Linked DNA regions of Sus scrofa. The protein of the gene in region 1 binds, or shares a complex with, the protein of each later gene. Links are inferred from orthologs where the notes say so. Each region holds a gene or a part of one and is shown in the gene's direction. Other genes may lie near its edges.

The links.
Region 2: the proteins of TOMM5 (region 1) and PINK1 are in contact, whole or in part, in a cryo-EM structure (PDB 9EII), measured with the Homo sapiens proteins. The link is inferred for Sus scrofa from reciprocal best matches to the Homo sapiens genes TOMM5 and PINK1. Residues at the interface, in NP_001001790.1 of Homo sapiens: Met1, Phe2, Arg3, Ile4, Gly6, Leu7, Ala8, Lys10, Leu11, Asp12, Pro13, Glu14, Met16, Lys17, Arg18; in NP_115785.1 of Homo sapiens: Gln484, Ala488, Gln491, Ser495, Lys496, Pro498, Val502, Lys520, Leu522, Lys523, Leu524, Met527, Glu565, Cys568, Gln569, Ala571, Leu572, Leu573, Cys575, Ser576, Trp577, Ala579, Ala580.
Region 3: the proteins of TOMM5 (region 1) and VDAC2 are in contact, whole or in part, in a cryo-EM structure (PDB 9EII), measured with the Homo sapiens proteins. The link is inferred for Sus scrofa from reciprocal best matches to the Homo sapiens genes TOMM5 and VDAC2. Residues at the interface, in NP_001001790.1 of Homo sapiens: Ile25, Arg29, Leu32, Ile33, Ala36, Arg39, Val40, Phe43, Ile44, Lys47; in NP_001171752.1 of Homo sapiens: Val38, Thr60, Gly63, Asp239, Tyr258, Gln260, Thr261, Leu262, Leu268, Leu270, Val286, Leu288.

Annotation. Positions count from the first base shown.
Region 1 is NC_010443.5:238,328,468-238,338,249, reverse strand, and holds TOMM5 (mitochondrial import receptor subunit TOM5 homolog), read left to right. Parts: upstream 1-5,183; 5' UTR 5,184-5,271; coding exon 5,272-5,392; intron 5,393-8,987; coding exon 8,988-9,022; 3' UTR 9,023-9,356; downstream 9,357-9,782.
Region 2 is NC_010448.4:78,858,808-78,868,589, forward strand, and holds the start of PINK1 (serine/threonine-protein kinase PINK1, mitochondrial), read left to right. Parts: upstream 1-4,387; 5' UTR 4,388-4,481; coding exon 4,482-4,877; intron 4,878-9,782. UniProt on the Homo sapiens protein: Serine/threonine-protein kinase which acts as a sensor of mitochondrial damage and protects against mitochondrial dysfunction during cellular stress.
Region 3 is NC_010456.5:77,762,070-77,771,851, forward strand, and holds the start of VDAC2 (voltage-dependent anion-selective channel protein 2), read left to right. Parts: upstream 1-5,095; 5' UTR 5,096-5,396; intron 5,397-5,601; 5' UTR 5,602-5,625; coding exon 5,626-5,656; intron 5,657-6,657; coding exon 6,658-6,726; intron 6,727-7,564; coding exon 7,565-7,614; intron 7,615-9,782. UniProt on the Homo sapiens protein: Non-selective voltage-gated ion channel that mediates the transport of anions and cations through the mitochondrion outer membrane and plasma membrane.

The DNA of each region.
Region 1 (9,782 bases):
ATACTCAAAAGGTTAGCGATTAATTAAAGATAGTACATCCATATAAAGAACACCATAGAACCATCACTAATGATATTGAGAAGAATATTTACTTATTTATTTTTGGGTTTTGGCCGCCCCATGCCATATGGAATTCCCCATCCTTTAACCCACTGTGCAGAGCTGGGGATCAAACCTGCATCATGATGCTGCAGAGATATTGACAATCCTGTTGTGCCACAGCAGGGATGCCTAGAAGAATATTTAAATATATAAGAAAATAGTCATATAACTTAAATGGAACACACAATACAGCATATATTACATGATCTATTTTGGTAAAAAAATAAAAATATATACATATATAGAAACAGAGTGAGAGCTACTTATGTATATGATAGTAGAAAGGCTGAAAGGATTACCACTAATGTTAATAGGTTGTGGGATGATGGAAAGTTGCTATTTTCTTTTTTTCTCTAATTTTTTTTCTAAAATTTATAACAATTTAAAAATATTTAATAAATTAATGCTTAATAATATCTATAATATTTATAATAATATACTTTTGTGGGGGAAAGTTATTAAAAGTATAATGTGAGTTTAATATATAATTCTATTGCTAAAGATGCATTAAAGAAAATAGGAGTTCCCATTGTAGCTCAGTGGTGATGAACCCAACTAGTATCCATGAGGGTGTGAGTTCTATTCCTGGCATCACTCAGTGGGTTAAGGATCCAGTGTTGCTGTGAGCTGTGGTGTAGGTTAAAGATGTGGCTCGGATCCCAAGTTGCTGTAGCTGTGGCATAGGCCAGCGACTGCTGCTGCAATTCCACCCCTAGCCTGGAAACATCCAAATGCTGCAGTTGTAGCCTGAAAAAAAAAAAAAAGAAAAGAAAGAAAAGAAATCTTTTTTTTTTGGCTATACCCATAGTAGGCAAAAGATCCTGGGCCAGGGATCAAACCTCTGCCTCAACAGTGACCCAAGCCACAGCAGTGACAATGCCATGTCCTTAACCCACTGAGCCACCAGGGAACTCATAAAGCAAGTAAATTAAATTTCATTCATTAACTTTGCCTATGTACATTAAAGTTATTTAAATGAATTTTATTTAGTCAAACAAAAAACAGTTTGTACTAAAATAATGAGAAATAATTAACTATATAAAAAGAATCTGGGGAAAACTTCTTTTGTGGCCAAAAAGCTACCAATGTTTTAATTCTAAAGGTTAGAAGATAGGAAGCTCATTCATTCATTCATTCATTCACGGGGTAAAAACTCAGTTTTCACCTTGTGTCAATACCTGTCCTCAACTGTTTGGAGGCTTAAAGTACATGTTGCTTGTACTTGAGCTGCTTACAGTCTACTTGGTAAGAGACCAAAAATGTCCCGACAACATAGTCCTAAAAATTAGACAGAGAACAGGGTATTAGGGAAAGCAAATGCCAGTGAGGAAAAGGTGATCAAAATTTTACTCATCCTTTGAGGCTCAAAAGGACCCTCTTCCAGAAGATGCCTCTTGCTAGGCAGTGATTTCTACAATTATTATTCCATCTCACAGGTGAGGACTCTGGTTAGCATCTGTCACAGAGCAACCCTCATTGAGGCCCAGGTGTCCTGCCCTTCCTTGTCCTGACCTTTGTTTCCTTCATCTTGGGTCCCGATGAAGTCAAGTTTATTTTGGGAACACCAGACTATGCTCATCTCTGAAGGAATGAGGAAGGAGAGGTGTGGAGCTAGCTAACAACATAGCCCAGATTAGTTTCCTGGTGTCGGGTGTGGAAGCATGGAAAGAGGGGCTACCCTCAGCCTGTTGATGAATAGCAGGACCCCTTCTCCTGCCCCTTTCAAATGGAAGTTCACCCACACCCCATTCTTCTAGTCTGTACCCCCGAGGAGAGGATTATCAATGAGAATATCCACCAAGTATCAAACTGCTGGAGGGTACGATGGGAAAAAATTCTGAACTAGGAGCCCAGAGACTTACCCTAGCCCCCTGGGGGCTCTGCCTCTAACTAGCTTTTCTCTGGACCTCAGTTTTCTCATCTACCAAGGGAAGGGGTTCAACTGTTCAATATGTGAAGTGCACACATTCCCTATCAATTAGAAACCACAAGATTCCTGAGATTATATGCTGGGGTTTTTCCTCAATCGTGAGTCACCTGTCAATCTCTGACCTTGCAAATACAAATTCCTCCCCATTGATAGAAATTAAAACACTTAATTCTTTTACAGGTAGGTTGTACACACTGAATGCTTGAGTGCAGTGCTGTCTGGAAAGTCGAGGCAAGGGAAGCAGCTTCTAAATCCCTCCAGAGATTGAAATGGAAAGCAAGACAGGCTATGACAGCAGCCACGATTTCTTCTGTGAACAGATTAATGAATACAAATATCAATGTTGAAGTATGTGTGCATACTTTTTATTTCTTGCCTTTCATGGCATATCACAGGGAATCCTTTACTATTAGCACTAAAGTGCAAGGTTATGAAGGAAGAGCAGGAAAAACAAGCATGGAGCTTCAGCATTTTAGAGCTGCCAGTGATTTTAGAGATTAGCTCCCACTCCCTCATCCTTCCAAGGAGGAACAAATGAGGTGTCCGAGACACGGAACAGCTCATTCCAGCGTTAACTTCCTGAAGTATGCTCTCTCAGTTTGCCTCACCTAAGCCTACCTCAACTAGACAATACCTCCACCTACATGCCAAACAAACAAAAACCAGGAAAAGGAAAGACAATGAAAGTATCTAACATCTTTTCATGTTTCCTCCTTTACAACTAGAAGAGCCACGAAAGGGAAGAGAGTCCTTCAGGATGAACGTCTCTGAGACAGAAACAGTTCACCTCCTAAATCGTTCGCATCCAGAACCAGTTCCTTACCCCCAAGACACAGCTACACCATATTTCTACCCACTACCTTCCAGTCTCTTTACAAGGAGGCAAGCCCCAGGCTTTTAGAGAATAATATTGCACTTTAACGAATCAGCCATTTACAACCATGTTTTCAAATAAACAGGTGTTTACATTGGATGAATGCTAAAAATCTGTGCTTTTTACCAAGAAACATGATCTTCTGTTAATTTCTTCTCTCTTCAGTTCCCTGTGAATCCAGGCAAGTTATTCAAGAGCATCTCAGTGAAGAAAAAAAATTGGTAATTTCATTTGAGAACTGTATATCTAAACTCGGGCAACACTAAGGATGTAAGTTACTGGAATCACATAAGAACTCATTTTTTGCACATCTGCTTTGCCTCACTCTTCAGATGGATGAGGTGTGCCTTATTGTTATGTTCTTCCTACCATGGAAAACACACACAGGCTGTTTCCATATCTCACCACATTTGATAATATTTTGATGTCCATACATTCCAGACCAGAATGCCCTAGATAACACATTTAGAATTTAAATGCACAGACTGTTAGAACTGAAAGGGACTCTCAAGCGCATTTAATTACATCTCTTCCCTTTGGGAGTTCCTGTTGTGCTGCAACAGAAACGAATATGGCTAGTATCCATGAGGATGAGGGTTCAATTCCTGGCCCCGTTCAGTGGATTAAGGATCTGGTGTTGCCCTGAGCTGTGGAGACACGGCTTGGATCCCATGTCTGCGGTGACTGTGACTGTGGCACAGGCTGGCAGCTATAGCTCCAATTCTATCCCTAGCCCAGGAACTTCCATATGCTGAGGGTGCAGCCCCAAAAAGCAAAGACAAAAAAAAAATTGTATCTCCTCCCTTTAACTAAAGAAACATACTTTCATTCCCCCCACCTCCTTTTTCAGGTTCTTTCCGCAGCCCCCACTGCTTTCCACCATCAGTGCAGGCTTTCTAAACGCTCTCCAAGGGTTAGATGGAGCCATTCCTTGGGAATCAGCCCCTCCCACTCCAGGGCTGCCTCTGCTATTCCACTGCATGAATTATAGATGCAAGAGGTTACTAAAGCCTGAATAAGCAAATGAGTTCCCTTTCTTGACTCAATGTGTTACATTCTGTCAATCAGGAAGGCAGGGGGTTGGGGGGGGGGGAAGAGCAAGATTTAAGAGTTATCTGTTGCTTCCATAGTAAATTACTGTTCAAATTTATCTAAAATCCATTGTTGCTATGCAATGTACAGTCTAGAAGGAGCATTCTGGTCTTGAATTATGTGAGCAAGTCAGTCATCTGGTTCGTGTCTGAGAATTATATATGGCTAGTTGGCATGCATAATTTGGGGCAGCAGCCTTCTAACAACTGTTTTGATCATTCCGTGACAGGAAATCTGGTTGCATTAAATTCCTACCTTCTGCTTCCAGAGATGCCCATCCAAGCAGGCACTAATAGCTAATAAAGACTAACAGAGGAACAAAAGGGTGCAGGGGAAAGAGAATTCAATTTAATATTATAATTATTTGCATTAGAACCCTGCCTCTGCCCATCATTAGTAGAAAGACTTTAGGAATTACACTGGGTTTCTAAACCTCTCTGTCCTTATCTGTAGAATGTTGAACAGATCTAAACTTGATTTATATACACTGTATCACTGGGCCAATACTGTAATTTGTGATGATCAGTTAACACTGAAAATGAGATGACAATAATAAAACGTAAAATGTTAAAAACTATGTGTCTGGGACCCTACTGGTCTAACTAGGTACACAACCCTGCTCAGAATTGACTAGTTGTGTACCTTGAGCAAATGTCATCATCTTTGTCTTTTTATTTTAGCTCATCATTAAAAAGTTCAAAATTATTCATAATAAAAGACTGGAATAATTAACTGAAATGATACACTAATCACCACCTAAGTTATTTTCAATATTTTGCTAATATCCTTTCATCTCTCTTTCCCAACCCTTTTTTTTCCCCCTGAGGTATTTTAAACACTATCTGGGCAAGTTGTTTTAAAGATCTCTGTGCTTTAATTTTCTTATCTAGAAAATGAAAATAATAATATCGAATTCATGAGTAGAAATGTACTGCGTATTTAATAAATGCTAACTATTATTATTTAAGATGGTACCTAAGTGCACCTCCCCCTCCGAGGCGCAAAACCACTTTGCCGCTCCACGCGCGGGGCTCAAGACAGGAGCCTGCAGGAACCCGAGTCGCGCGTCGCTAAGATGGCGTGTGCCCCCTTCAGGCCGCCCTCCTTCAGAACAAGTCAATGTAAGGATGAATTTTGTCCTTCGCAGGCTCCCGTCGCAGGAGTCGAAAACGAGGGGCGGGAACAGGAAATGGGATTGGGTCGAGTTCCGGGCGCCACACGGAAGCTGAGAATTGCAGAGCGCGACCACTGGAATTGGTGAGGCAGAGCCGCGATGTTCCGGATCGAGGGCCTCGCGCCGAAGCTGGACCCTGAGGAGATGAAACGGAAGATGCGTGAGGATGTGATCTCTTCCATACGGAACTTCCTCATCTATGTGGCCCTGCTGCGAGTCAGTGAGTGTCCTTTCAGGCTGTGGCCGTGAAACTAACAGGGAGCTCGCGGACACTGCCCTCCAACTTTGATCCCATTGGCCTTTGGGGGCCTTGAACTAAACTAAGCGGTCGCTGGGCGCAAGGGACGTGCACGTCGAGGGCAGCGGGCGCATGCGCGACGCGGTTAGGATCTGCTTGTGAGGGCTGGAGTGTTTTAGGGCACGCGGCGACCTGGACCTCGAGGTTGAATCACGGTCCAGGGTAATCACCCAGCCCGACCGTTTGAAATGAAAGCGCCTCAAGGGTTATCTCCCAGAGCAGCTACCTCGTTTTGCACACAGAAAAACTTGTGTCTAGAGTGGATAAATGGCAGGCTCAAGGTCACTCAGCGATTTGGTGAATGATCTTGACCTAGAATCCAGAATTCTTTACTCGCTGCCAAGTTTCCTTCCATTATTGCTGACCTCTGAAATCCAAAAGGTTTTGTTCCTTTTATTTGTATGGAGGGCGGAGTAAATAATTGCTATTTTAAAAGAATGACGAAAAAAGAGTATGAGTTAATAGGATTAATTTTTTTTTCTCTTGGCCACACAGAGGCATATGGAAGTTACCCGGCTAGGAATCTAATCTGAGCCAGAGCTGCAGCCTATGCCACGGCTGCAGTAACAGCCGGATCCTTAACAACTGCTCTGGACCGGGGCTGGAACCGCGCCTCCACAGAAACAAACCCGATGTGTTAATCACTGGGCCACAGTGGAAACTTCCTAATAGGACTGATGATAATACCTGAGAGTTTATTCGATTTTATTTTTGATAGAAACTATTTGCACTGCCTGATCTTCACAATAGCCCTGGGAGAGGCAGGACATAAATCTCTGTCCACTTTGCAAATAAGAACTCCACATTTAGAGGGCACTTACGCAAATTATCAGAATTACCAGCACACAATATTAGATCTGGATGCAGTTTTATAGATCAGTTTTCTAGTTTTACTGATAGGAATTTGAGAAGCACTTTGCCCCTCCGTCTCATTTTCAGTTCAGTGTTCTTTTCCTTGTTCCTTGCTGTATGTTAGTAGGTCCTTGATGAAGAGGAAGAGACGATTCAAATAAATGAAGGTCATACTAAGGTCATCTTGTAGAGGGCTCCTTTTGGGCCTAGGGCCAGAACTCCCTAAAGTCTTGTCCCCTTAATCTGCCCCCTTCGCTGTCTGTGGTAATACTGTGCTTCCCCGGAAGAGGGAGCCCTGGTGAACAGGCCACCTCAGATTGTCCAGCTCCAACAGCTTTTTACAACTCCCAATTTATTTCTTCCTCTTTTTTTGGTTGACTTAGCTGCCGGTAAAATATTTGCTTCTTTTCAATGACCTTTGTATTCGATATGAGTTGTTTTTTTAAAAAAAAATACAGAATACTGTTCCTTATGATTTTTAAATTGATACAATATGCATGTTATACAAGTCACTCAAAGTGTACAATTTATTGGTTGCTAGTGTAGTCAGAGTTGTGCAGCCATCACTACAATCTATTTTAGAACATTTTATTTCCCTCTGAAAGAAACACCATGTCATTACTGATCATTCCCATTTTTTGTCTTTAGGGATTTTCCAATTCTGGACATTTCATATAAATAGAATTGTACAGTACTGTGACTTTGTGTCTAGCATAATGTTTTCAGGGTTCATCTATACTTTTTTATTGCCAAATAGTATGCCAATTTCTGGATATATCATACTTTGTCCATTCTTTTGATGGCTGTTAACTTTTTTTTGTGATTAGAATTTATTGTTTTTTTTTTTTCACAACACTTTAGGTTATTCATTTTATTTATTTATTTATTTTTTGCCTTTTCTTGGGCCACTCCTGCGGCATATGGAGGTTCCCAGGCTAGGGGTCCAATCGGAGCTGTAGCCACCAGCCTATGCCAGAGCCACAGCAACGTGGGATCCGAGCCGCGTCTGCAACCTACACCACAGCTCACGGCAACGCCGGATCGTTAACCCACTGAGCAAGGGCAGGGACCGAACCCGCAACCTCATGGTTCCTAGTCGGATTCGTTAACCTCTGCGCCACGACAGGAACTCCTTTTTTTTTTTTTTTTTTTTTTCACAACACTTTTACTTTATTTTATTTTATTTTATTGTTGTTTTTAAAGACTGGTCATACTGTTGACTTTGTCAGCTTCTGAGAGATTTCCGTGTGTTCAGTTTAATATTAGCATATGTAACCAGCACTACCAGAAAGACTATTTCCAGAACTCTTTATCTTGTAAAACTGAAGCTATAGCTATTAAACAATAATTCCTTGTTCCCCCCTCCTCCCAGCTCCTGGCAACCACCATTCTACTTTAAGTCTTTGTGATTTTGACCAAGTATCCATCTAAGTGGAATCATAACAGTATTTGTTTTTTTGTAACTGACTTTTAATTTTGCAAAATGTCCTAACATTCATCTGTGTTGTGGCATATGTCAAAATTTCCTTCCTTTTTAAGGCTGAATGATATCCATTTGTATATATATACCCATTTTGCTTATCCATTCATTGTCCAAGTGTCTTGGGACACTTGGGTTGCCTCTTTATTTTATCTGTTGTAAAGAATGCTGCTGTGAACGTGGAGGTATAGATATCTCTACTCTTAGTTTTTTGAGGAAACACTATGCTGTATTCTATAGCAGCTAGACTGTTTTACATTCCCAGCAACAGTGCACAAGGGTTCCAGTTTCTCCACATCCTTGCCAGCCATCCTAGTGGGTGTGAGTGGTATCTCACCGTAGTTTTCATTTCCATTTTCCTAATGATGAGTGGTGCTGAGCATCTTTTCATGTGCTTGTTTTGGCTGTAGCCTTTTACACAGAACACTATCACTTCCTTAGATCCCTTTTACAACCCTTCCTTGTTTTCTAGACATTTATATCTACATCACCTCACTGGACCCTCATCATAACTGAAGTAGGACTGTAGCAGGTATGACCTAGAGCACAAAAATGGTGTACAGTCAATCAGCAGGGGAACCAAAATATGTGTCCAGCTCTTCTGGATCCCTGCCTCAGTGTTTTCCCCTACCCTCTGCCTTCTTTCAAATGAGTTTTTACAAGCAAAAAATGCCAGGACTTCCTGTTGTGGCTTAGCGGGTTAAGAACCCAACACAGTGTCCTTGAGGATGTGAGTTCGATCCCTGGCCTTGCTTAGTGGGTTAAATATCTGGCATTGCCACATTTTGACCCCTGGCCTGGGATCTACCATATTCCATATGCCGTAGAAAAGAAAAAAGTGAAAAATCACAATTTGTTTGTTTCTTCGACAGTTAAATCACAACGTAAAGGCTTGTCAGTTGAAGGAGGACTGGATTTACTCTTTATGGTCCTAAGAGGGAGAACTACCTGGAGAAAAGATTTTATATAGTGCAAGAATGAACTTTATAATAGTCCGAGCTGCATGACAGGAAATGGGCTGCCTTGAAAGACAGTGCATCCATTTTGCTGGGTGTGGACTTGGAGTTGTTTTGAAAAATGTGTTGAACTAAATCTGTCAGGTTTATTCCCCATTCTTAAAGTTCTGTAATATAACTTGTAGGCTAATAGATCTGAAAACAAATGCTGGGTTTACTTTTCTTTCAGCTCCTTTTATCTTAAAGAAATTGGACAGCATATGAAGAGTGGGCATCACGTGTGAACGCATGATGTGAAGAGCCTGGTTACAGTTTCTACTCTTGTCTGCAGATGAATAAGCCCAGAGAGATGTAAGAGACTCTTTGAATGGACATAAACATTCTGCTTGTTAAGAACAAGTTTGGCTTTGGTAACTGACGTTTATAGCTAAAAGATAAAGCCATTTGGGAATTAGGAAAAGATGTTTTGTGGTCATAGTACACCCTTTTTGCCTGTGATAATCAGCCTTCATGAATGTTGATATAATTGTAAATGATGTCAAACTCCATTTTCTAGCAAGTGTTAATTATAAGGGAATTATATCTGCAATGGCACTGTCTTGTGAGTCATTTCTGTGTACTTTTTTACTTTCATCTGGAGTATATTTGTTGAAGAGTTCCCTTCAATTTGTTATGTTTTGTGGAAGCCAGCACACAATGCCATCATTTAAGCACAAGACCATTCGTCTATATTTTAATACGTGTACCAGCCAAGACAATAGGGCTTTTATTTGGCTTAACCCATGTTTTGCAGCAAACTGACAGTCACTGGTGAGGCTATTATAATGTGACTGTTACTGAGTCCTTCTTGTTAGGGACTGGAGAATTTACTAATCCTGATAAAATGCCATGGTTTTATGCTTAAGCAGTCTTTGCAAAAGGCAGTGTTACTGCAGGATGCCAAGAATATGTAATGCCACCAAAGGGGAAAATGTTATAGTTAAGTCAGATGCTTCTTGAAGTTTGTTGGGAGAAGGGGATGGTG
Region 2 (9,782 bases), on another chromosome or scaffold:
AACCCTTCAGATGGTTGAAGATCCCTCCAGCAACAGCTACTATTAACATGTCCCTTAATTTCATATTTAAGCAGGAAGGAAGGGAGGTGGAGCCTTTTGCTTGTTCTCTTTTGATGTCCTGGCTTTTCCATCACACCGACATCAGAAGAATTAAAGTGAAGATGCTCCCTAATGTCGGTTGGTCCTAAACAGTGGAAAGTGCCATCGTCTGTTCATTCAGGAACAGGCTGGCTGAGACATGTGCAAAGCAAAGTTCAACTCAACGTCTGTGATACAACGAAGCTCGCATTAAAATGTTTTTTTGTTTTTGTTTTTTTCTTTTTGCCATTTCTTGGGCCACTCCCACGGCATGTGGAGGTTCTCAGGTTAGGAGTCTAGTTGGAGCTGTAGCCGCCAGAGCCACAGCAACGCAGGATCTGAGCCGCGTCTGCAACCTACACCACAGCTCGAGACAACGCCAGATCGTTAACCCACTGAGCAAGGGCAGGGACGAACCCGCAACCTCATGGTTCCTAGTCAGATTCGTTAACCACTGCGCCATGATGGGAACTCCCCTATTAAAATGCTTTTATTGTTTGAAACCACGAAATTCAAAGATGATTAAACTCTGTGAACTTTCACACACTATTCAAACAAAGTTCATTTTTCAAAAAAATTGAGACCATGAATGAGTTAGATAGAACTTTTTTGGGGTAAGTGTGTATCCAAAATCCTTTATTTTATTGTTTTTAGTTTGTTCCACTGTTTCTTTCTTTGTATCTATTTTTAAACAATATTATTGAACCCCTAGCTGTGGTGTAGGCTGATGGCTACAGCTCCGATTCGACCCCTATCCTGGGAACCTCCATATGCCACGGGAGCAGCCCAAGAAATGGCAAAAAGACAAAAAAAAAAAAAAAAGAATTTTACTGAAGTATGATTACAATATAATATATGGTAAGGTGTACAACAGTGACTCACAAATTTTAAAGGTTATACTCCATTTATAATTATTACAAACTATTGGCTATATTAACTCTGTTATACACTATATACTTTGTGCTTATTTATTTTATTTATTTATTTTGGTCTTTCTGCCATTTCTTGGGCTGCTCCCTCAGCAAATGTAGGTTCCCAGGCTAGGGGTCCAATCCGAGCTGTGGCCACCGGCCTACACCAGAGTCACAGCAATGCAGGATCTGAGCCGTGTCTGCGACCTACACCACAACTCACAGCAACGCCAGATCGTTAACCCACTGAGCAAGGGCAGGGACTGAACCCACAACCTCATGGTTCCTAGTCGGATTCGTTAACCACTGAGACATGACAGGAACTCCTGTGATTATTCATTTTATACAAAATAGTTTGTACCTCAATCCCCCTAAGTGTCCATCGATATATGAAAGGATAAAGAAGATGTGGTATATGTGTATATATACACACACATATATATAAATAGACACACACAATGCAGTACTACTCCGCTGTAAAAAAAAAATTAATGAAATTTTGCCATTTACAACAACATGGATGGACTTGAAGGCTATTATGCTAGGCGAAATGAATCAGAGAAAGACAAATACTCTATGACCTCTCTCTCTTTTTTTTTTTTTTTTTTTTTGCTTTTTAGGGCCATACCCGAGGCACATGGAGGTTCCCAGGCTAGGGGTCAAATCGGAGCTGTAGCCGCTGGCCTACACACCAAAGCAACAGCAATGCCAGATCCAAGCCGAGTCTGTGAATTGCACCACAGCTCACTGAAAGACCAGATCCTTAACCCACTGAGCGAGACAAGAGATCAAACCCGAAATATCATGGTTCCTAGTTGGATTCATTTCCGCTGAACCACGATGGGAACTCCTCTAAGATCTCATTTTTATGTGGAATCTAAAAAATAAAGCAAACTAGTGAATATAACAAAAAAGAAACAGAACTCACAGATACAGAAAACAAACTAGTGGTTACCAGTGGGGAGGGTTCCCTGGTGATAAAATAGACTGAATTTTTCTTTTCTTTTTTTTTTTAGCACCACACCCACGGCATATGGAAGTTCTCAGGCTAGGGGTTGAATCAGAGCTATAGCTGCCAGCCTATGCCACAGCCACAACACCAGATCTGAGCTGCATCTGTGATCTACACCACAGCTCAGAGCAACACCGGATCCTTAACCAAATGTGAGAGGCCAGGGATGGAAACTCACATCCTCAGGGATCCTAGTCCTGTTCGTTACCACTGAGCCACAATGGGAACTCCCTGAATTTTTCAGAAAGGCTTTCATTATGTTAAAAAAGCATTAAGTAAAATGTTTACCTAAATACTACACACAGAAAAATGCACAAATCAAAATGTACTTTTAGGAGAATTTTCATCACATAAACGGATCAGGAAACAACGTCCCAGGACTCTATAGTTGTAGACACTCTCATGGCTGTTTAGTATTCCATTGGGTGAATATACCACAATTTTCCAGTCTACTATAGAGATGGCCATTTGAGTTGTTTCCAGTTTTACACTATGTGGAATAGTCTTGCTATAAACATTCTCGGGTAAATTACATATGCTTTTCTAGGGGTCTATACCTAGGAGTAACATTACCAGCTTCTCATTCAATGTATATACTGGTTTCTTTCTTTTTCTTTTTTGGCTACACCCACAGCATGCAACTTTCCCCGGGCCAGGGATCAAACCCACGCCACAGCAGTGACAGCGCCGGATCCTCAAAATGTTGAGTCACTAGGAAGTATTCCTATACTGGTTTTGACATGTTTAAACTCACTGGAGTTTCCATCGTGGCTCAGTGGTTAACGAATCTGACTAGGAACCATGAGGTTGTGGGTTCGATCCCTGGCCTTGCTCAGTGGATTAAGGATCGGGTGCTGCCATGAGCTGGGTGTAGGTCGCACACTCGGTTCAGATTCCACGTTGCTTTGGCAGTGGCGTAGACCAGCAGCTACAGCTTAGATTAGACCCTGATCCTGGGAACCTCCATGTGGTTCGGGTGCAGCCCTAGAAAAGACAAAAAGACCAAAAAAAAAAAAAATTTCACCAATTCAAAGTGGATCTTTCTGCAGTTGCCTTGTTTTTATTCCTATTTACTCTCATTCTTTCTTACAACTTTACAGCCCAGAAACAGGGCTGTGCTAAAGGTCGCAAATGAGTCCTGAAATAAATAGGTTAGACTGTGTCTTTCTATTCAAGAAATGCTGAGGTGGGTCTCAGGCTAGACGAAGGTCCCCTTGCCCTGAAGGTCATCTGTGACACATGGCCATACCTTCAAAAACATTTTAACATCTCTTCCAGGGCCTCTTACCCACAACCAGCCTTAAGGGTAAGGAGATTGGAGGTACTCATGATTACAGGAACGTTTTTTTAAATGGCAGCACCACAAAATATACCTCCTTAGCCTGGGGAAGGCTTGGTTCCTTGTTAAAGAATAACCCACTGACCAAATAAATCATGTAGATCTTGTCTGGATCCCAATTTGAACAACTGTAAAATAAAACAACAGGGAAATCTGAATATTGATTGGATAGTAAATGATATTGTGAAGTTAATGGTAATATTTTTAGAGGTGACAATATCATTTATGTTTTGTAAAAAAATAGTTCTCTCTCAATAGATATTTAAGTATTTATAAATGAAATGATATGATATATGGGATTTGCTTTAAAGATGGGAGAATGGAAAGTAGGAAGATATGCACAGGTGACTAAATAATGACTATTTGTTGATAATTGTTGAAACTGGATAATTGGGTACATGGGGTTCACTATAGTTTTCCATTATTGTATTTGTAAATTCTCTTTTTAAAAAAGGCAAGAGAAAGAAAGAAAAATCACTCAGTACAAATTCCTTATCAGCCATTCCAACAGCAGCTTTGGGTAACAAGGCTCTACCACCAACATGCTGTGTGACTTTGTGAGTTGATCCACATCTCAGGGACTCTGTTCACTAATCTGAAAAAAGTGGCCTAAGGGTGAGATTTCTCTCCGGGGCCTGTGGGCTTGTTGAGACGAGTGGAAGGGCATCAGGGGCAAGGACTCAGCAATCAGGGCAATGCAAACTTTAACCTCAGCTCTGATACTGCATATGACCTTGGACTGTCACTGCCCTGTTTTTTTCTTTTTCCTCAGTTTTCTTATCTATAAAAACGACCTTCCTATCTCATTGGTAGGAAAATTAACAAACGTAGATTCTGGCACCGTCGGTAAGGGGTAATAATTATTCATTTCTCTTCTCAATTTCTCGATTTTGCCCAGAACCAAGGATGTTGACAGGATCTCCCTGACAATGCAATCTTTAGATCCTGGGTGCAAGAGCAAGAAACTACCCGCCGCGCAGATGCGCGAACAGCGCCCTCGTGCGCGCACAGCGGAGAAACAGCCAGAGAGGCGGCCCCGCCCATTGGCGCCCGCGCCTGCGCAAAGGCGCCGACCCGAAGTTTGTTGTTGTGACAGGCGTCCCGGCCTCCTGCGGCTCGGAGGAGACCCAGCCGCGGCACCATGGTGGTGCGACAGGCTCTGGGCCGGGGCCTGCAGCTAGGCCGAGCGCTGCTGCTGCGCTTCACAGCCAAGCCTGGCCCGACCTATGCCTGGGGGCGGCCCGAACGCCCGGGCCCAGCGGCGGGCTGGGGCCGCGGAGAGCGCCCTGGCCCTGCCGCGGGACCCGGAGCGGAGCCGCGCAGGCTCGCGCTCGGGCTCCCCGGCCGCTACCGCTTCTTCCGCCAGTCAGTGGCCGGGCTGGCGGCGCGGCTCCAGCGACAGTTCGTAGTGCGGGCCCGGGGCGGCGCGGGCCCTTGCGGCCGGGCTGTCTTTCTGGCCTTCGGGCTGGGGCTGGGCCTCATTGAGGAGAAGCAAGCGGAGGGTCGGCGGGCGGCCTCCGCCTGTCATGAGATCCAGGTGAGCGCCGGCCGCGGGCGGGGGTCGGAGCGGGAGCGGGAGTCGGGCTGCGGGCGGGGCTAAGTGTGTGGGCGGGTCTTGGGTGGGTGTGGGGTGGGGCTAAGTGTGGGCGTGGTGAAGGCGGAGCTGGGAGGCATTAACTGATTTGGGGCCCTGGGTCAGGGTTTACCTTTGTCCGAGCTGGAAATTCCTTGACATCACTGATTAAGGCTCATTTTCGATGTCACTGATCTCCTGACCTGGGGCTTAACAGCTCACTTTTTACTGTTTTCCCTTCCTTCAAACAGCATATTTTGGAAGTTATGTTAATAACCACTCATGTTGCACCTTGGCCAATAACTTTCTGTAAATTTTCAGAAATTTAAGGACAACTAAGACATAATACTTATATTCCTGTGGTTGGTTGTCATCCCTAATTTATGGATGAGGAAACACACTCAGAGAAGTGAAAGGTGGTGTAAATTGCTGAAAGTCACACAGCTCATAAAGGGCAGTGCCCCAAGTCTGATTTTACAAAGCCTGTGCCGTTAACCACTGCTCCAGCCAGGCTCCTTCCACAGTTTAGCCAAATCAGAAGTGACACAGTGACTGATATTAATGACAGATCTGAAGCTTCAGCAAAAACCAAGAACAGCAAGAGAAGATAGCAGACCTGCTTTATTTTTATTCAATGAATTTCATTGTATTTATAGTTGTGCAACCATAATTACAGCCTAATTTTATTTATTTATTTGTAAAGCAAAAGCGTTTATTAAGGCGTCAGAGGGTGGCTGAGCTCAAGATGGCACCAGCCCTGACTGTGAGGAGGTGCTAGGCTTATAAAGAATCTGTCACAGCCTAATTTTACATTGCCATCCCAAACCCCCAGCGTATCCCCCCCCCCCAACCTGTCTCCTCTGGTCCCCGTAAGTCTTTCAAAGTCTGAGTCAGTTTCTGTTCTGCAAATAAGTTCATAATATCCTTTTTTAGATTCCACCTATAAGTGATAGCTATGATGTTTGTGTCTCACTGTCTGACTACCTTCACTTAACATGATAATTTCCAGGTCCATGCATGTTGCTGCAAATGCCGTCATTCCATTCGTTTCTATGGCTGAGTAATATTCCATTGGGTATATGTACCACATCTTCTTTATCCACTCCATCAACAGAGGGATGGACATTTAGGTTGCTTCTGTGTCTTGGCTGTTGTATATAGTGCTGCAGTGTACATTGGGGTACATGTATCTTTTTAAATCATGGTTTTCTCTGATGTGGGATTGCTTGATCATATGGTAATTCTATTGTTAGTTTTTTGAGGACTCTCCATGCTATTTTCCATAGTGGTTGCACCACTTTACACACCCACCAACAGACTAAAAGGGTTCTCTTTTCCCTTTGCTCCGCACCCTCTCCAGCATTTATTGTTTGTAGCCTTTTTGTTGTTGTTGCTTTTTAGGGCCGTTCTCATGGCATATGGAAGTTCCCTGGCGAGGGGCTGGATCAGAGCTGTAGCCACTGGCCTACGCCAAAGCCACAGCAATGCCAGATCTGAGCCGTGTCTTCCACTTACACCATAGCTCACGGCAACGCTGGATCCTTAACCCACTGAGCAAGGCCAGGGATCGAACCTGTGTTCTCATGGATACTAGTCAGATTTGTTTCCGCTGAGCCACGATAGGAACTCCCCTCATAGTGTGGGTTTTTTTTTGTTTTTTGGTTTTTTGTCTTTTTGCCTTTTCTAGGGCCGCTCCCGCAGCATATGGGGGTTCCCAGGCTAGGGGTCTAATCGGAGCTGTAGCTGCCAGCCTACACCACAGCTACAGCTATGCCAGATCTGAGCTGTGTCTGCGACCTACACCACAGCTCACGGCAATGCTGGATCCTTAACCCACTGAGCAAGGTAAGGGATTGAACCCGAAACCTCATGGTTCCTAGTTGGATTTGTTAACCACTGAGCCACGACGGGAACTCCCTCATAGCAGGTTTTTTTGTTTGTTTGTTTTTGAAAGTTGAGAATTAAATTTTATTTGAGACAAAATTAGGACTTAAGCCCAAGAGACAGCATCTCAGGTAGCCCTGAGAAACCACTCCCCCCCATAGTAGTTTTGATTTGCCTTTCTCTAATAGTGATGTTGAACATCTTTTCATGTGATTTTTGGCCATCTCTAAGTCTTCTTTGGAAAATTGTCTGTTTAGATCTTCTGCCCGTTTTTTGATGGCTTTTTCTTTCTTTTTTTTTTTTTTTTTTTTGGTATTAAGCTGCAGGAGGTGTTTATATACTTTGGAGCTTAATCCCTTGTCAGTCACTTCATTTGCAGAAATTTTCTCCCATTCTGTGAGTTGTCTTCATTTGGTTTAGGGTTTCCTTTGTTGTGCAAAAACCTTTTAAGTTTAATTAGTCCCATTTGTTTATTTATTTTTTTTTACTGTCATTACTCCAGGAGGTGGATCTGAGAAGATATTGCTATAGTTTATGTCAGAAAGTCGTGGGCCTATGTTTTCCTCTAGGAGTTTTACAATATCCAGTCTTATATTTAGGTCTTTAACCCCCAGATCCTTAACCCCCCAAGCAGGGCCAGGATTGAACCTGTATCCTCATGGATACTAGTCGGGTTTGTTGTCACTGAGCCACAAAGGGAACTCCTAATTCTGGGCTTCCTATCCTGTTCCACTGATCTGTATTTCTGTTTTTTTGTGCCAGTACCGTACTATTTTGATGACTGTAGCTTTGTAGTAGTCTGGAGTCAGGGAGCCTGACTCCTCCAGCCCCATTTTTCTTTCTCAGGATTGCTTTGACTAAGCAGACCTAGGTTTTTAGTTAATCTGTATAATTATCAGGGATGACTAGATACATAGGGTTCTAAGGCTTTTTAAATGTTTGAAATAGCTCAGAGAATTCTGTTTCTACTCAACCAAAATCAGAGTTCTCCAGAGAAACAGAACCAATAGGATGTGTTTATAAAAAGAGATTTATCCTAAGAATAGGCACCGAAGTTCAGGAAGGAGGCTGCCAAGTCCTCAGTCTGCAGAGTGGGCCAGCAGGCTGGTGATCCAGGCAAGAACCATTGTTGATGTCAAGTCTGAAGGCCGTATGCTGGCAGAATTCCCTCTTCTTCCAGGGAGGTCATTCTTATGGAATGACCTTAATGGAAGGTAGGGTGACTTGCCCAAGGGTATGGCTGGTTGAAGAGCAAGCAGTGTCTTCCATGTGTTCTGGTTTTCAGCCCAGTTCAGTTACTCATCACCAGAGTGTCTCATGTTTGCGCTCTGGCCCGTTTGGGGTGACAGGTGACATCTGACCTAGTCCCCAGCCTCTGTCCTTGTCTTTTTTTACAGCCCAACTGGCAGAAGCCAAGGATGGCCAACTTGACAAATATGGAGGCTTTTTTATTTTTTGTATTTTTATTTATTTATTTATTTATTTATTTTGACCTTTTAGGGCCGCACCCACGGCATATGGAGGTTCCCAGGCTAGGAGTCCAATTGGAGCTGCAGCTGCCGGCCTACACCACAGCCACAGCAACACCAGATCCAAGCTGCATCGGTGACCTACACCACAGCTCACAGCAACACCGGATCCTTAACCCACTGAGCAAGGCCGGGGATCAAACCCCCAACCTCATGGTTCCTAGTGAGATTCGTTTCCACTGCACCACAGTGGGGACTCCTATGGAGGCTTTTTTTAAAACTGAGGCGCTTGATCCTCCATCTCCACATCCTTTTCTCACACCTCACCCTCCTGTGTCTTAACATTTTTAATTAGTTGCCAATTAATTTTATTTTTATATGACTTTTATTTCCTGTTATAGTTGATTTACAGTGTTCTGTTAATTTTTACTGCACAGCCAAATGACCCAGTCATACATATCTATACATATTCTTTTCCTCACATTATCCTCCATCATGTTCCATCACAAGTGACCAGATACAGTTCCCTGTGCTATATATAGCAGGATCTCGTGCCAATTAATTTTAAAAATTCAAGCATTTGACTTCTTATTGAAAAAAAAAAAACACCAGATCTGGCAACTCTAATGCTAAAATTCCATGTGGTATCATACTGGAGTATAATAGTGATCACTCTATTTCTCATTTGGAAAAAAACCCTTTATAATATAGGCAAAAGACATGAATATGTATTTCACCAAGAGGAGTTGCAGGTGCCAAACAAGAATATGAAAAGATGTTTAACACCACTAGCCATTAGGGAAATGCAAATAAAAAATGCAATGTGATATCTCTGCATACTTATTAGAAGAGATAAAATTTTTTATTTTTTTATTTTTTGCTTTGTAGGGCTGCACCTGCAGCATATGGAGGTTCCCAGGCTTGGGGTCTAATCGGAGCTACAGCTGCTGGCCTGCACCACAGCCACAGCAATGCGGGATCCTTAATGCACCAAGTGAAGCCAGGGATCAAACCCGCAACCTCATGGTTCCTAGTCAGACTTGTTTCCACTGTACCACAACGGGAACTCCTAGAACAGACAAAAATTTTAAAGTAGTAATAATACCAAATGTTTGAGAGGATGCAGAGAAACTGGACTGATAGTGAAAATATAAAATGGTACAGCCATTCTGGAAAATAGTTGGCAGGAGTTTCTGCTGTGGTACAGCAGTTTGGGGATCTGGCATTGCCACAGCTGTGGCGTGGGTCACAGCTGTGGCTCACATTCCTGGCCTGGGAACTTCCATGTACCATGAGTGTAGCCAAAAAAAAAAAAAAAGTTGGCAGTTTCTTACAAAACTAAACATTCATTTATCATATGACCCAGCCATTGCCATCTCAGGCATTTACCCAGGGAAATGAAAACTTACGTTCAACAAAAACCTGCATACGGAGTTTCCGTCGTGGCGCAGTGGTTATCGAATCCAACTAGGAACCATGAGGTTGCGGGTTCGATCCCTGGCCTTGCTCAGTGGGT
Region 3 (9,782 bases), on another chromosome or scaffold:
CAGTGCACTTCACTTCCCTTCCATTCTTCCATGGCTACTCGCCACCAGAATGTTCCACTGTAAAATCTTACATCCCAAAGTCCCACATTCTAACTGTAACCACAGCTTATAGTTCTCTCTTTCACTTGTTTCATCTCAATAAATGTTTGTTTCAGTCACAGAAGGTTCCCAGTCCCTAGGCCCTAAGACCTGGGCAAGAGGAGCCCCCACCCTGAGCCTCAGACTTTACAGGGCCCCACTCTAACCCTTCTCAGATTGTGCCTATTCCTACAGGGTGAGGAGTCTACAGGGCCAAGGAACAGGTGCACCCAAGCCCACGCTCACCTTCTGTATCTGGCCCAAACTCTAGGTACAAAAGATCTCAGCTTCCCCTGTTGAAACAGTCCAGAGCCTGCTTCTGGGGCCTGCCTACAGGAATGTGTATCTAGGGCTGGTTCTCCCCATGTGACCTCACCTGGCACGGTCAAGATTAGGACGGAATCCTAGTAAAGGAAACTTCAAAATTTGCCTGGCTGGATTTCAGAACTGTTGTGGACTCCATTGTTCATCCTGTTTCCCCCCTTTTGACCAGGGGTGTCTTTAGCATTTATCTGGTGTCTGACCTACTGTGTGTGTGTTGGATATGTATAGTGACGGGCAGGGGTAGGTAGTTGTCCCTTGTTCGTAGGTCTTAAGATCAAGTAGAACTCTACTAGAGTGGCTATGCATAAAGGAACTACACCCAAGAAACCTCTTGCTGATGCTATAAGTGTGGAGGTTTGGGGAGGTTTTAGGAGGGAGTTAGTGTATTTTTTGTGTAGAAAAAAGGTAAATAATGTGACCACAGCACTGACTGTGGCATTTTAAAATATATATACTCAGAGTTCCTGCTGTGGCTCAGTGGGTTAAGAACCCGACATGGTGTCTGTGATGATGGGGGTTCAATCCCTGGCCTCACTTAGTAGGTTAAGGATCCAGCATTGCTGCAAGATGTGGTATAGGTTGCAGATGTGGCTCAGATCTGGCATGGCTGCGGCTGTGGCTGTGGCCAGCAGCTGCAGCTCTGATTCAACCCCTAGCCTGGGGACTTCCATATGCTGCAGGTGTGGCCATAAAAATTTTTAAATTTTAAAAATTAAAAATAGAATATGTCCACAAATTCTTAAATACTTCTTTCAAAAGATGTGCCTGATTTCTCTCCCTTTGATAGACTGGTCTTAGTAACTCACTTACAACAAATAGAAAAAAGCAGAAATGACAGTGTGATTTCTGAGGCAGGTTCAGACATTGTGGCTTCAGTCTCTCTCTTTGGTCACCTACTCTGGGAGAAGCCAGCTGCCATGTCATGAGGACACTCAAGCAGCAGCTTTAGGGAAACAGCCACATGGTGAGGAATGGAGGCCTCTTGCCAAGAGCCATGTGAGGGATCCTCCTTGGAAGCAGATCCTTTAGCGTGGTTAACGCTTCAGATGACAGTAGCCCCAGCTAATATATTGACTACAACCTCATGGGAGGCCCTGAGCCAGAACTACTTAGCTAAGCTTAATTTTTGACCCACAGAAACTTTTTGATAATAAAAGTGTTTTTTTGTTGTTTTTTTTCCCTGTTTTTTTAGGGCTGTACCTGTGGCAGATGGAAGTTCCCAGCCTAGGGGTCAGAATCGGAGCTACAGCTGCTGACCTACACCACAGCTCATGGCAACACCGGATCTTTTTTTTTTTTTTTTTGTCTTTTGCCTTTTGTTGTTGTTGTTGTTGCTATTTCTTGGGCCGCTCCCTTGGCATATGGAGGTTCCCAGGCTAGGGGTCAAATCGGAGCTGTAGCCACCGGCCTACGCCAGAGCCACAGCAACACGGGATCCGAGCCGTGTCTGCAACCTACACCACAGCTCACGGCAACGCCGGATCGTTAACCCACTGAGCAAGGGCAGGGACCGAACCCGCAACCTCATGGTTCCTAGTCGGATTCGTTAACCACTGCGCCACAGCGGGAACTCCCCTGGCTTTCCAGTTTTGATAAGTCCTACTTTCATACTTTAATGCAAGTGTCTCCTCAGTCTGACTGTGCATGATCACAGTTCTCTGTGCTTACATTTATTTATTTTTTTACTTTAAAAATTAAAAAAAAATTTTTGGTGCCCCACCTGTGGCATATGGAACTTCCAAGCTGCTGCTGAGGCCTATGCCACAGCTATGGCAATACCAGATCTGAGCCGCACTGCAACCTTTGCTACAGCTTGTGGCAATTCCAGATCCTTAACCCACTGAGTGAGGCCAGGGATCAAACCACGTCCTCAGGAGACAACATCAGGTCCTTAACTCACAGAGCCACAATGGGAACTCCTAATTTTTTATTAAAGTGTAGTTGATTTACAGTGTTGTGTCAGCAGGTGCTTACATTCAGCATTGTGCTTAGAACCCCTGAATTCTCCGTCCTATGTTGTAGGACAATTCTCAGTGGTGTTTCTACAGGTCTTGTGACAGCTTTTATCTCAAACTATCTTTTCAAGAATGTCTACATAGCAAATAGCCTTGGGAGACAGGGATGTTAGCTCCCTCTGGGTTAACAGGCAGAGGGCAGATTTTGTTTCCCGGGAAGTATAATAATGTCTCTCTTGGGGCAAAGGTTGGACAGGTTTGTAGCTCCTTATAAGGCAGGATATTTCCTAAGCTTAAGATTCCTCAGCTGTGACACAAACACATGGTGTGCAGTTACTCCCTAGGGTGGTCTGCAACACCCCTGTGGAACACAGAGGGCAAGGGGAACTGATTTGAACATGAAGCTTATGCTGCTTGCTGAGCCTGGAGTAATAAAATCCTTTGTCTCTAACCTTTAACTTTCCTGTCTTCTGCCAGCATCTATCAATATATGAAACTATGGCAGGTGAACTTGCTAGTTTGCACATAGGGAAAATTTTGGACCCTTTCTAGCTTTTTTTTTTTTTTTTGTCTTTTTAGGGCCAAACCCATGGCATATGGAAGTTCCCAGGCTAGGCATCAAATCAGAGCTGCAGCTGCCAGCCTATACCATAGCCACAGGAATGCCAGCTCTGAGCCACATCTTCGACCTACACCACAGCTCATGGCAACGTCAGATCTTTAACCCACTCAGCCAGGGATAGAACCTGAGTCCTCATGGATACTAGGTGGGTTCGTTAACACTGAGCCATGATGGGAACTCCACCTTTCCAGTTCTTGACATCTCTACACATCTCTGCATCTCTACATGCTTGACTGTAAGTGCTTCCTCGGGAGCAGGAAGTGTGTCTGAATGGATTTTGCTTCCTTTGTGGGTGATACAAAGTAGTTGCTCTATAGGTGGTGGCTGCTACTAATGATGCTTTGGTCTAAAGAGCTTTGTTTTTTGTTTTGATTTTGTTGTTTTGTTTTAGAGTGGACTCTTTAAAGGGCTTTGGATGTAAGTACTCATATATAGTTACTGAATCCCACTTTGAAATAAATTGCCACGATTCTTCCTGTTATTAGGTACTGTGTATATCCCTTGGATTTTTATTAGAGGGTAAAGCCTCAGATCTGTGTTTTGTAGCACATTAAGATTCTCTGGGGGTTAAATATGTTAGATAGTTCACAGTGTGAATAAGCCCCAAAGATGACTGAGCAGAGACTAGGTTTTTCTGGGAGGTAGTATATTATGCTGCACTTAGGACAGGATAACAGTTTCTGCCATTAGCATCAAATATAGCCAGAGCAGACCAGTTCTCTGTGGAACCAGACTGATTTCAGACCAACCTGTCTGAACGTGAATGAAGGAATTAATCAGGACTCTGGTGCCTGAACTTTTAGGCACAAAAACTTTTCCCTTCTTCTAACCCTTTACAATGTGTAATACCAACCACGACTAGGCAAGCTTGCTGGCTGGGCCTGCTCATGGGAGGGAAATCCACCAGGCTGCAGCTTAAATCCGGGTTTGCAATGGGAGGCCTATCTAGCTATCCCTTTTTTCCTGGTTTAGAAAAAGATGGTAACTTTGCAGCATTTAAATAGAGGTGGTTTTCAAAGCTAGAGTCAGGGAATTTTCTTGGGGCAAAGTGGGTTAAGGACCCTGCCTTGTTATTGCAGCTTGGGCCACTACTGTGGCAATGGTTTGATCCTTGGCTTGGGAACCTCCACATGCCACACGGTGGGTAGAAAAAGAAGAAAAAGCCAGAGTGGGGGAAAATGAGCTTTCCTTAGTCTATGGCTGAATGGCTGTTAAAACCACTTCATCTCATTTATTTTATAGAGTGAAACAAAACAAGACAAAACTGGGGTAGAGAAGGGATAAATTGCTGAGACTGGCTATTGATTACCGACCTTAAATTGACCCTATTTCTATCTCATTAGACCGCTCATTTTTTTCTTGTCCCCTTGGCTTCTTCACTTCCTGCACACCCAGAGAACTGGAGTGCAGCGTTCTAATGCTTGGTCAGCATGATTCCTAAATTTTCTAGCAGGCTTGACTCACCAAGACCGCTCCAGTTTCTCTGTGTGTGTAAAGCAGTCCCACCCCAATCCAGACGAAGGAGGCAGAAAAGGAACCCTAAGGCTTGAGCGGGGGTAGGGTGGAGTAGGGAAAGGCGGGGCACCCCGAGACGTGCTCAAGTTTGTTCAGGGCGGGGCAGCCCAAGAGAGCCTCTCAGGCCGAGCCCCGCCTAGCATGGCGATTACACCATGATGGGAAGCGGGCGAAAGAAGGGAGTGGGCGAGGGGCTGGAGGTACGCCCCAGCGCCCCACTCATTTCTCTCTGAGCCAGGAGAGACACACGGTCTTCCAGAGACGCAAGCACTTGCTCAGGGCAGAAGTGGTATCGCTCAGCAGACTCCTTCCTCTACCGGGGATTGGCTCTGCAGGGCATGTAAGTCACAGCCAAGAAGGGGAGTTGGAGAGATGTACGTGACCTCGGGGAGCGCGGTCGCGCCCAGTCGCGCGCAGTCCCGCTCAGGCACGCGCCCGACGCCCCGCCCCGCCCATATTGAGCGCGCGCGGGGCCTCCACCCCATCCCCCCGCCCTCGCGGTCCCCTCCGGCAGCATCCGTCGTTCCCCGCCCCCTCGTCTCTGGGGCTGTCCTCTTCGCTGCCTGACCTGAGGTCCGGCAACGTCTGTCTTTCTGGCCCCCGCCGAGGGACCGAGGCGCCCTATCCCGGGGGCGGGGGTGCTCTTGGAGCACGTGGCTGTTTTAGAGCAGGTTGGAGTGGGCAGCAGGCGGCGCTGCGGGGACAGGCGCGGCGGGCAGCCCCAGGGGCAGCGGCAGGGTCCTGGCCGGTGGGGGGAGGACAGGGTTGCGGCAGGCGGAACGGTGTCTCCTTCACTTCGCCCTCCAGCCGAGGGAGCTGCAGCCCGACCCTGAAGGAGCCGAACGGTTTCTGCTGCGAGCGAACGGCAGGGGCGCCTCCCCCTCCCCCCAGGAGACCACCAGGTACCGCTGCCCCCGCCTCACTCTGACCCGGGGGCGTAGGCCTGGGCGGCCAAGCAGGATGTCTGAGCCGGACTCTGGGTCGGCCCTGGCTCCCTAAGATGGCCGCGCTGCCCCGCGGCCCCTCTCCCCTCTGTCCCAGACCCCCTTTCTGGCCCCTTGGTTTGCTTCTGACCCCTGCTGACCACACTTTATGTCCCTCCTTCAGATCACCTCATCCGACGGCTTCGCCATGGCGTCCTATGGACAGACCTGCCCACGGCGTAAGTAGAGGGGGATCTCTGCGGGACGGGGCGGCGGTGCCTGGACAGTCGAAGCCTGTCGAACGGAAAACTAGGGCTTCTTTTCCCGTATCTCTCCGAGGACTTGGAAATTTGTCCCTTTTGGTAGTTTCTCCATCGTCTGACTCCTCTAGTTCTGCGGAGGAGGGACTGAGTTGCTGGATTTCGAATAGGGGGACTAGGCCAGGGGAGTTGGTTCATGGTCGCATTCACCTTCAGCTTTTGGATGTGTCTTTAATGGACTCAGAGGAAAAAGTTACTGATACCGGATTTGGTTTTTGGAGGCTTGGATCGGTCACTTTTTTAGAGGAAGTAGTAATCTCCCTTGTGAGTGCACAAGGTCATTACATGTGCTCCTAAGGGCGTGGACGTGCTGTGTAGAATGAATGAGCTAGTGTAACGAGCTCAGATTGCTTGCCCTTAAGCCGCACAGCATTGGCCGAGGATATGTCTAAAGTGCCATCTGATATTTAGTTGATGTAGACACTTGAGTGAAACATAGATGGCTTTTTTTTAAGTTCCGTTAAGTTCCCCAGGTATTATTTACCTTTCTCTTCCCATTCCAGAATATTGGTTTTGGCCTCAGAGAGGATACTAAAGGATGTATTGGGGGAGGGGGTGAGGGACTTGTCTTAGTTTTTTTAATCTCATTTGGTTAAATCAGCCTATTCCAGTGACTTTTGGCAGGTATATTTGAATGTATAGTTATATATGTGTGTATGTGTTTGATTCTTTGTATATTTTGGAAGGAATTTCCCAAGTTTTTTGGCCACTTACTATAGTTATCTGTTTTAGAAATTAGTCTTTGGTGCTGATGTCTCCCTCATGGATCCTAGTAGACTATAGTTTTGTTGTAGCTCCTCGTGGTAATAAAAACAAGTTGGATTGCTTGGATTTAAAGATAGCAGTCTGTTCATAATCTAGTTCTTGAACAGACTGTGGGAGCACAGGGACATTAACATTGGAATGTTTCTTCCCACCAGCAATGTGTATTCCGCCATCATATGCTGACCTTGGCAAAGCTGCCAGAGATATTTTCAACAAAGGATTTGGTAAGAATTGCTTTAAAAATTTTAGATCTGAAGTGGAAAATGTGTGTTTGGATTGCTTAGGGAAATTATTGACTTTAAATTGTAAGTATTTTGCTGCATTCTCTTATTAGTTATATTTAAGATAAGATTTCTATTAAAATAGTACTGTAAAACAATCCAAATTCTATCCCAGTTTCATCTGTTTTTTTCAAACTTGAGTTACAGGAATTTACCTTTAAGAAGAAAAGCAATCATGCTTTCTTTTCTTTGAGATATAGTTTACGCCATGGTTGACTAGAATTGATGATTGTCTTGGATTGCTTTGATGGTGGTGACTCCTACTAAAGAGTTATGGGTTTTTTCGAATAAATTAGGACTCTCTTGAAGATTTTATTCCACACCTCACCCTCCCTGTCCTTTAGAATATTTCCCCAGTTATTTAGATTATTAATTGTTTAGATTATTAATCCCCGAAGGAGGTACCTCTTTGGGTTAAATGTTCTCAGTGCCTGTATTATAATAAATTATTGGCTATTCTGAGATTTAAGTTGAAGTGATTTTTCTAATCTGATATTTCGGTTTGAAAAGCATTTTTAAATAAATGCTTTGATAAAATTGTTTGACAGTTGGGGTTTTTTTTTGGGGGGGGGATTGCCAAATACACACCAATATATTAGGCAAAGCTTCATAGGGATGTTTCTGTCTATTCACAGAATTTTTCATTTAAGTATCATGTATCAATGCACATTTTTGTCTCCCTTTGAATATGTGAAATCTTTCTGGTTTTCTTTTTTTAGTGTATATAGTTGGCTGTTGTCATGCATCTTTTATACAAAAGAATCATTTTGTTCTCTTGAAGGTTTTGGGTTGGTGAAACTGGATGTGAAAACAAAGTCATGCAGTGGCGTGGTGAGTGTTAGGTATCTGATAAGTTCTGTTGAGCCTTTATATAATTTTTTTTTGGGGGGGGCTCACCCTTGGTAGATGGAAATTCCCAGGCTACGGGTTGAATTGGAGTTACAGCTGCTGGCCACAGCCACAGCAATGCCAGATCCAAGGCCTGTCTGAAACCTACACACAGCTCACGGAATGCCAGATCCTTAAACTACTGGCAAGGCCAAGGATTGAACCTGTGTCCTCATGGATACTAGTTGAGTTCATTACCGCTGGGCCACACGGAAATGCCTATTTTATCTTGAAGAAACAAAAGATGATTTCATTTTAAGGGCATTTTATCTTGATTTTATTTTCATTTTTGGATAGGATTTCTGGGTTTTGTGTGATCTTTTGTCATATTACTTACTTTGTATGTGCAAGGTACTCAGGAAAGACTGGTCATGTGGGATTCTGTTACTCAGTAAGATTGCAACCTGTTTTACTTTTTTGCAAGCCCTTTTGATGAGTTTGAAAAGCCTTAAGAGTTCTGCACATAAAATATTCACTAATTTATTCTTCCTTTTTTTTTTTAATGCCATCTGCAGCACATGGAAGTTCCCAGGCTATGGATTTAATCTGAGCTACAGCTGCACTCCACAGCCACAGCAACAAGGGATCCCCAACCCACTGAGGAGGCCAGGGAGCAAACCTGCCTCCTCGTGGATATTGGCTGGGTTTGTTTCTGATGTGCAGCAATGGGAGCTCCTTTTTTTTTTTTTTTTTTTTTTTTAACTAATTCGTAATTTGAGTGTAGTAATCATTTATACAATGATTATATTCTAACAGTCCTCCTTGGAGACATTTCCACCTGTATTTTGTGAATTTTTAGAGTCCTAAATTTGAGTATTTTTAAAAAACGTTTTTTTTCTGCAACATGTGGAAGTTCCTTGGCTAGGGGTTGAACTGGAGCTGAAGCTGCAGGCCTGCCCCACAGCTGCAGCAATGCCAGATCCAAGCTATATCTGTGACCTAACCCACAACTTGTGGAGTGCCAGATTCTTAACCCTCCAAGTGAGGCCAGAGATCGAACCTGCATACTCATGGACACTATGTCAGGTTCTTAATCTGCTGAGCCACAATAGGAACTCTAATAGTACTCCATATTTGAGAGGTTAATATTTTGATATTTGGATATCTTGATTCTGCCTGACTCCCTAAGAGTAAAGTAAAATTTATTTTGTGTAGTTTTTTTTCCTAAGGATTTTTTTTGTTTCATGTTGAGATTGTTGTAGGGATGGGGTGTAATGTGTGCATACTGGTTATTTTGATAAATTCTTGCTGTAAGTTGTTAACTCCCGTAATGCATATAACTGATATTTATTTAAATTAATTATTCTGTAGTTTCTTAATGCCTAGACTTGGATTTCTGGGGTTTTATATTGGTCACATCTGTCATTTGATTTCTTTGGTCTGAGTTTTCAGTGGTTGAGTGACTTACTTGCTCAGGATAACAGGTGTTTGTTTTGTGTTTCCTCTCTTAACCTATTGGCCTCTATAAACCACTTGCTGTATGTTTGCTGAAATACAAAAGGCCTTCTAAAAAAGTAGAAGACTCAATTCTTGTGTTTAAAAGGCTTGCTGGCTGGAGAGACACTTTAAATGACGGAACAGAACAGTATATCTAGTACTAGATTGTTCAATAAATCAGAGTCTTTATTGGAAAGGAAAGGCTTTTTGTGGCCAGGAATTTTATGAAATTAGGCTTAAGAACATGAAGAATGTATAGGAGTTTAATTAGATACAGCTTTAAAAAAATTTTTTTTTATATTTTTTTGCTTTTTAGGGCCACACTTCCAGTATATGGAAGTTCCCAGGCCAAGGGTGGAATCGGAGCTGTGGCTGCTGCTGGCCTACATCACAGCCACGTGGGATCCGAGCCATGTCTGCAACCTACACCACAGCGCTGGATCCTTAACCCACCGAGGCCAGGGTTCAAACCTGTGTCCAGATGGATCCTAGTTGGGTTCATTACTGTTGAGCCACGCTGGGAATCCCTAGTGTGTTTTTATTTATTTTTAATGTATGTAATTCAAAAGTGTGAAACTCATTTTGTAACGTGTACCTGGCCCCTAATATTCCCATCAATGCCTAGTTCTGCTATCTCACCTGAGCTGCAGAGATGTCCAGGCCACCCCAGCCAG